2 linked regions of the Diceros bicornis minor genome follow. The protein of the gene in region 2 interacts with the protein of the main gene of each other region in a pairwise test. Links are inferred from orthologs where the notes say so. Each region holds a gene or a part of one and is shown on either strand. Other genes may lie near its edges.

What was found. The genes of interacting proteins can lie anywhere in the genome.
Region 1: the proteins of VASP (region 2) and TRIM9 interact in binary tests that used the Homo sapiens proteins (3 or more experiments, as listed by UniProt). The two-hybrid records come from large-scale screens. The link is inferred for Diceros bicornis minor from reciprocal best matches to the Homo sapiens genes VASP and TRIM9.

The regions. Positions count from the first base shown.
Region 1 is NC_080744.1:1,168,207-1,171,949, reverse strand, and holds the start of TRIM9 (E3 ubiquitin-protein ligase TRIM9), read right to left. Parts: upstream 2,802-3,743; 5' UTR 2,717-2,801; coding exon 1,895-2,716; intron 1-1,894. UniProt on the Homo sapiens protein: E3 ubiquitin-protein ligase which ubiquitinates itself in cooperation with an E2 enzyme UBE2D2/UBC4 and serves as a targeting signal for proteasomal degradation.
Region 2 is NC_080773.1:19,741,592-19,745,334, reverse strand, and holds the start of VASP (vasodilator-stimulated phosphoprotein), read right to left. Parts: upstream 2,492-3,743; 5' UTR 1,770-2,491; coding exon 1,765-1,769; intron 1-1,764. UniProt on the Homo sapiens protein: Ena/VASP proteins are actin-associated proteins involved in a range of processes dependent on cytoskeleton remodeling and cell polarity such as axon guidance, lamellipodial and filopodial dynamics, platelet activation and cell migration.

The sequences.
Region 1 (3,743 bases), on a different chromosome or scaffold from region 2:
GAACATTATTCTTTTTTAGCAGACATCCAAATTTCAACCCAGTCCTCACCACAGTCTCAACTCACAACTTCCATTACTGAGAAAACAAATGGTTTAACATTTCAAATCTACATGAGCTGGACAGAGATTTAAAGGTTGCTTTTGGTCTTAATGGATAACGTATAGGCTCTTCTTCACAGAAAAATAATGCTGTGGTTTGACCATCCTAATTAGCCTGTGACTCTCAGTTCTTTTTCCAGGCAGGGTGATTCATTTCTTAGTTCCAAGGATAGTTTTGTAGGGCAATTCAACAAAAGCTATAATTAGCAGTTTAAGAGTGAAATCATAATAGGAAGAAAAAGCTGGCTGTGAACTGAAGTTTTGAAAACTTTCAAAATTAAATGTCATTTAAAAAAATTTAAATTCAAGTGTTTTAAAAATAGTGGCGTGTGCCTTATGGAACTCAAATTTGTGCTGAATTAAATCTCCATCAGGACTAACGTGGTTTAACGGCTTATATGTGAGAACACAAATGATTGTAAACACTGATCACATCCAATTAATACTGAGTTGAGAAAACCTCCTCGATTGCTGAAAATGGTGATTTTTTTCTTTCTTGCTGTAAATAAAGTATCAATGGCCTCTCAAAGGCCAGCCTTTCTAGTCTCCAAGGAATGCTGGGGGACCCTGAGCCGGGCGCAGCTGAGGCCTGAGCACCGTCCTTACCTCCCTGCCTCATCCCTGGGCTTGTGACCCAGTGAGTGAAGAAAACCTCCCTACAATGGTGCTGAACCCCTGCCCTGCCCTTCACACCCCGAGGTAAGTGGATTATTTGAAAAGTAAAAGTCAAATTTATGCACATCTCAAGAGTGGTTCCCTTCCTTCTGAGCAGCGTGGGCATAATGCTATAAAGATCTCTTTCCTCATGAAGCTTATTTTGTGTGTGTGTGTCGGGGGGTAGCAATAGATAAACACAAAAGTAACGTGATAATTAAAATATATAGCATGCCAGTTAGTGCTGAGGACTACTGAGAAAAACAAAGCAGGGAGCAAACCAAGAGGTGTCTGAGATGCGAAGCAGCAACTGTGGTCAGAAGGGTCTCACTGCAAAGACGACATCTGAGCCACGATCTGAAGAAGGCAGGAGTGAGCCATCCTGATACAGGGTATCGGGAAGCGTCTCAAGCTGCATGAACACCAGATGCAAAGGCCCTGGAGCTGAAAGGTGCTGGTGTGGCTGCAGCACAGGAACAGAGTGGGAGGAAATGAGATCGATGAGGTCAAAGGGGAACAGGTCGTGGAGGTGCTGGTGGCCTATTCTCAGGACAGTCTAAGAAACTTGGGGGCCACTGGAGGGTTTTGAGCAGAGGAGTGGCAGGACCTGACACGTTGTTGAAGGCTCTCTCCTTGAAGCGGCTTTGGTGGAGGTGCCAACGAGAGACCAGGAAGACAAGGTTGGTAACGGGTGTGCCACAGTTCGCAGACGCTACTGGGAGACAGGGGTTGAACCCTGGACACACGGGCGCGTGGGCGGCTGGAGGGGGGTCACCCGGGGGACACACTCGCCTGGCGTTCAGACCGGGACCCCTTCACGCCGGCTGGTGCGGCGACCCCCACCGCGCCCGCCGCTCCGCCCGGAGCGCCCGGCCGGGACCGCGTCCCCGATCGATCTTCGGCACTGCGCCCGCGGGCCTCCCGTCCCCGCCCGGCGCCCCCGCTGAGACTCCCCCGCCCGCCGGGGCCCGCGCCCGCTCGGCCCGGGGAGCAGCGCCCTCCCGCACGCCGGGGCGCAGCCCCGCCCCGAGGCAGCCCGCAGCCGCTCTGGGGGACGCTCGACGCCCCCGCGCTCCCCGCACTGCAGCGGGCGGGGACCGGGCCCGGCGGGGGCGCAGCGCGCGGACCGGCCGCAGCTCACCTTGTGCAGCTTCCACATGGCCCCCAGAGCCTTGACCTCGTGGCTGGAGTGCTTGCCCTCCTCCAGGCACTGGTAGCACACCGGCACCTTGCACTGCACGCAGTACATGCTGAGGTTCTCCAGCTCGTGGTCCGTGCAGGTGGACACCTTGCGCGGGCTCAGCCGCCGGCTCACGCGGCCCTGCGCCGGGGGCACCAGCCGGTGCTTGGCCAGCGGCCCGCGCGGCGGGTGGCAGCGCAGGCGGCACGGGTCGCAGTAGAAGACGTCGCACTGCTCGCACATGACGGTAGCCTCCTTGGGCGCCTTCTCGCAGAGCTGGCACTTGAGCGCCGCGGCCTTGCTCTGCTGGTAGCGGTCGATGACGCCCTCCAGCACGCGGTTCTTGGGGAAGCCGCGCAGCCCCCGGTCGTCCAGCACCAGGCTGCGGTGGCACTGCGGGCAGGTGATGCACGAGTTGCGGGGCACCGGGGCCAGCGCGGGCGACAGGTGGGCGGCGGGCGGCGGCACGGCGGGCGGGAAGACGCGCACGCCGTTGGGGGACTTCTGGCTCGGCGTGGTGGGCGCGCTGGCGAAGCCGCCGTAGGAGCCGTAGCCGCTGTCCGCCTCGCTGTAGAGGCTCATCTTGTCCAGGTCCAGGTAGTCGTAGTCGGAGGCGCCGGAGCCCGAGGCGCGCCGGCTGCGCGGGGACTCGGCCTCGGGCGTCTGCACCAGGATGTTGCGGGCGCACGCCTGGCACAGGTTGTGCGAGCAGGGCAGCAGGATGGGCTCGCGGTAGAAGGAGCCGCACACCGGGCACTTGAGCTCTTCCTCCATCTCCTCCATCGGGCCGGCGGCCTCCGGCTGGGCAGCCTCGGCGGGCCTTCCCGGCGCCTCCCGCGTCCCCTCCCGCACCGCGCTCTGCCGCTCGCTCTCTCCGGCTCTGCGAGGGCCCGCACCCCGCCGCCCGCTCGCCGCCCGCCCGGCCCCGCCCTGCGCAGCCGCCGATTGGACGGCGGGCGGGCGCGCAGGCTCTCATTGGCCTCACGCGCCGTCCTTCTCTCCCGCGCAGGCCCAGGGGGCTGGCGGGGACTCCGGGTGACTCCGGGTGAGGGGCGTCTGCGTTCCGGTGGCGGGTTCGGGGGAGGCGGGTCTCTAGGAGGGAGGACTCATCGTCGCCCCGTTTCCGGCGACCCTGGCGCCGTCACCGCGAGCGGGGCGTGAGGAGCCCGCCCTCACGAGGGGCTCCGGCCGAGATCTCCGGGCGGCCGCGCGGCCCGGAGCCCCCTCCCCCCCACCCTCCCGCAGGACCCTCTCCTCAGACCTCCCCCGGAGCCCCTCCCCTGATCCTCTCCCTGGACCTTCCCCTCGGACCCCCTCCCCGACCCTCTCCCCGGCACTCCCCCCGGACCCTCCCCTCGGACTACCTCCCCAGGCCTCTCCCCGGACCCTCGCCCCGATCCCCTCCCCGGACACTCCCCCCGACCCCCTCCCCGGACCCCCTCCCCGACCCTCCCCCCGACCCCCTCCCCGGACCCCCTCCCCGACCCTCTCCCCGGACACTCCCCCCGACCTCCTCCCCGACCCTCTCCCCGACCCTCTCCCCGGACACTCCCCGACCCTCCCCCCGGACACTCCCCCCGACCCCCTCCCCGGACCCCCTCCCCGGACCCCCTCCCCGACCCTCTCCCCGGACACTCCCCCCGACCCCCTCCCCGGACGCCCTCCCCGACCCTCTCCCCGGACACTCCCCCCCGACCCCCTCCCCGGACCCCCTCCCCGACCCTCTCCCCGGACACTCCCCCCGACCTCCTCCCCGACCCTCTCCCCGACCCTCTCCCCGGACACTCCCCGACCCTCCCCCCGGACACTC
Region 2 (3,743 bases):
CCGCCCGGCCAGCAGTAGGGGGGCCCTGTGGGAGGGCCAGGGCCTCGAGGCTGGAGGGGGGTGGGAGGCCGGCCCAGACATTGCTCCTGCCCTTTTACGGTCTCCGAGTGAGGCAGCCCTCGCTCGGACATCCGCCATCCGCCTTCCACCGCGGTGCCTGGGACCGGAAACGCGGGGAGAGGGGGGCGAGGGGCAGGGCTGGGGGGCAGTGGGAGAGGAGAGTCCCCGGGGAAGAGGGTGAAGGAAGAGGCTCCTGACCACGGCCCCCTCTCCAGGGCAGACCTTGAAGGCATGTTGCTGTATGAGAAAAGGGTAGGCAGGAAGTCTTGAGGGTGTCTGTGGGTGCCCCTTGCTCCCAATTTTCCAACACTTCCTTTCACATCAGAAGGAACAAATGGGGGAAGGGGATTCTCTGACAGTCATAAAAAGGCAGGCCACCTTGATGTCAGATGGCAGGGGTAGGGGGAATGGGGAAGTGGGAGGATGTGGGCACCACGGGGTTAATCCCTATCGGTCTCCAGGGGCCTCCCCCCTCAAGCTGGGGGCTTTGGGGCAGGAAGTCCCTGAGAGAGTGGAGGAAGGGAGATAGTATTGTCAGGCTCAGGCCTCAAGGGAGAGATTATGGGGGGTCAGTGAGAGGGGAGAATGGGGGGGCCTAGTCCGGTCCCCCAGTCCGCACGGGCCCCGCCCTCAGGTGAGCCCAGGACTTTTGAGGGACCCAAGACAAAATCCTTGGGTCCCCCACCCCCAGTGTTCAATTCCTGGGAAGAGAGCTGGAACTATCTGGGAAGCCTGGGTCCCAGGGGGAGAGGGCTATGACCTTGAAGCCTTCCAGCGCCCCTCCTCCAACCCCACAGCTCCGGATGGCTAGGGTGGGGGGGCGGTGGTGAGAGAAGGGGGAGGCGCCGTGGTGGGGAGAGCAGCCGGCCCACAGCGCTCCTTGCCCGCCCCCCAAACACCAGCTGTCTCGACAGGTGAGTCAGGAAGACAAAGGCCCCCATTCCCCCAGCTGCCGCGCCCCTTCCCTCCCCAGGGCCGGGCAGGTGGGGGAGAGGGCCGCCCTGCTGGCCCGTGGCCGGGGCGCCGCCCTCCGCACGGAGCGCTCGCTCAGTCCTAGGCACAGCCCGTCTCAGCAGATCGTGGGTGGGGAGCAGTGGGGGAGGGGGGTCCCACCAGACCCTCCAGGCTGCGTCTGAGTCCCTGGATCCGTCGGCACCAACCTCTTCCAGGAGGACGAGAGCACCCCCAAATTGAGAGGGTTAAGTACCCCCGAAGTTCAGGAGCGAGGTCCCACTTGGGAAGACTTTTCCCAGCACCACGTAAAGGGGCACCCCGCAAACCAAGCTCTACGTCTCAATCTCTCTTCCAGGACCCCCAAACCGGCCCCCTACAATCCCTCCCGGAGCCCGAGTTGAGATTTGGAGGCGAGTCTGAGCCCTGCCTGAACCCTGGCCTCCCAGCGGGGAGTAGCTGCCAACTTGGAGGTCCTCTGAAAAAGTCTTGAAAAAAATCCGAGAGTCCTCGGAGCGCCCCCAAATCCGAGGGCTCCCAGGAGAAGCTCACCGGCACCACCCCGAGCCTGGGGAGTCACGGGGAAGCGGCCAGTATTTGGAGCTCGTCCCAGGGGGCTCGACCTCAGATCCGAGGCTCCCCATGCCCTGTCCCCAAATTCGAGCCCGGAGCAAGCTGGGGGGGAGGGGGACAAAGGCGGGGCGGGGAGCCCGCGCCGGGCGGGGAAGGGGCTGGGGGCAGATCCAGGCTCACCTCATGGCTGCTCGGCGGGCGGGCGGCGCGCCCACGGGCTGGCTGCTCCCGGGGCGCCCCGGGCTTGAGGTTCAGGGGTTCGGGGCTGGCTCCAGGCTCTGCTCAGTCTCCCCCAGGGTCCCGCCCCATAGAGTCCGGCTTCCTGGGGGGAACGTGGGCCGGGGCGGGTCCTCGGGCGCCTCCTCCCTCTGGGGGTGTGATGGGGGGGTCCCTGCGGCAGAAAGGGGGTGCGGCGTCCCCTCCCCGGCGCGCCTCCTCGGCCGGCGGCGGCTACAACGTTACTCTTACTACTGTACTTCTCTTCGCTACATTTCGTTCCAAAATTCCACTCCCCGCACCCACAATGCCCTGCGTCTTAAAGGGGCCGTCGACACCTCCAGGCGGCGGGGTGGGAGGCTGGAGGGCGCTTAAAAGGGCAACGCGGAACCCCAGCCTTCCGCTATTTGCCCCTGCCCCAACACTATTGCATAGGGGTGCACGCTGGGGCTCGCCCCCACATTAGAGGGGGAGCTTGGTGGAGGGGAAGGGATCCTTCCTTGATCTCTCGTTCCCTCCCACCGGGGAAATTCCTAGGAGGATCTCAATGGGGTCACAATTTGTTCTCACCCTCCCCACCTCCCTATCGACTTCTGCATTTCTTTACATTCTGCTCATTTAGCAGGGGGGCAAGGAGGACCCTCTGGTGTAGCATAGTCTCTCCAATTTTCTCCCTTAAATCCTCCCGTCGGACCCCGCCCCCCAAGGTCTCTCATCTCCGCCAATTTAGGAGGGGTTACTCAGGGGTGAGCCCCCTCCCCTGCACAGGTGGGGGATGGGCGAGGAGGGCCCCCTCCCGCTCACTGCCCCCCGCCCGGCCCGGGAAGGTGAGGAGGAAGTGGGCCGAGGGGGCGCGGCCGGCCGCTGACTCACAGCCGCAGGGTGGGGGCGGGAGGGGGTGGGGGCGGTGCTGGACCTGGGTGGGGGTGGGACTCCAGGTCCCCGTGTGGATAAAGCCCCTGGCCCCCTCCCCACGCACGCCCCGCCGTGACTCAGTTTCGCCCGCGGAGCATGGCGGGATCATCCAGCAATGGGAGGGCACCGAGGCGACGAGACCCTCCCTAGTGCCAGCTCCTGGGAGCCCCCTCCCCCACGCGCCGGCTACCCGCTGAGCCCTGACACCCTCCGAGGCTTCCGCAGCGGGTCCCGCAGGCCACGCCCCACGTGACGTCACGCATGTGGTCACACCCCTCCCGTAGAGCGCCACCTGGCCCGCGTAAGGTGCCCTAGCCAGGGGCAGGAGTTTAGGAAATCTTGTTAGACATTTACAAATAGGTAAACTGAGGCCAGGAGAGAGGGAATAAATATGGGCTATAGCCCCCTTGCCTGAGCCCCCAGAACCCCAGTAGCGCTTGAGTGCAAGGTGGGAGTGTAAAACCACCAATTCTCAGGGCCCAGCTACTAAGTGAGGCAATCAAGCTTCCCAGCCTTTGTCCAAGCAGGGTCCTCCGCCCGGATGCCTCTGACCTTTCCCTCATCCTTCTAGACCATGCTCTGACGTTCATTCTTCTCTGAAGAATTGAGTAATCCTGTCCCCTTCTATCCTACTGAGAGATCGTGAATCCTGATCCACCTAGGTTATAATTATTTTTCTGGGTGTCTCCTCAGGCCGTGAGAGGACAAGTCCCTTCTCCTCTCTGGGTCAAAGCTTTCCCACGGGTGAAATGGGAGGGGTGGCGCTTCTGTGTGCCACTTGCCTTGCAGTCAACCAACTTCTTCTATAAAGGTCCAGATAGTAAATATTTTAGGCATGTTATGCATAGGGTCTCTTTTGCCCTTTTTCCCCCCAACCCTTTAAAAATGTAAAAACCATTCTTATATGTACACAAGAAGCCTGATGAAGGATCTTTATGGCAGCAATGAGGTGACAACAAGAAATTGGAAATAGCCTGAATGTCCATCAAGAGGAGGATGGATAGTGAAACCATTGCACATCCCTGTGT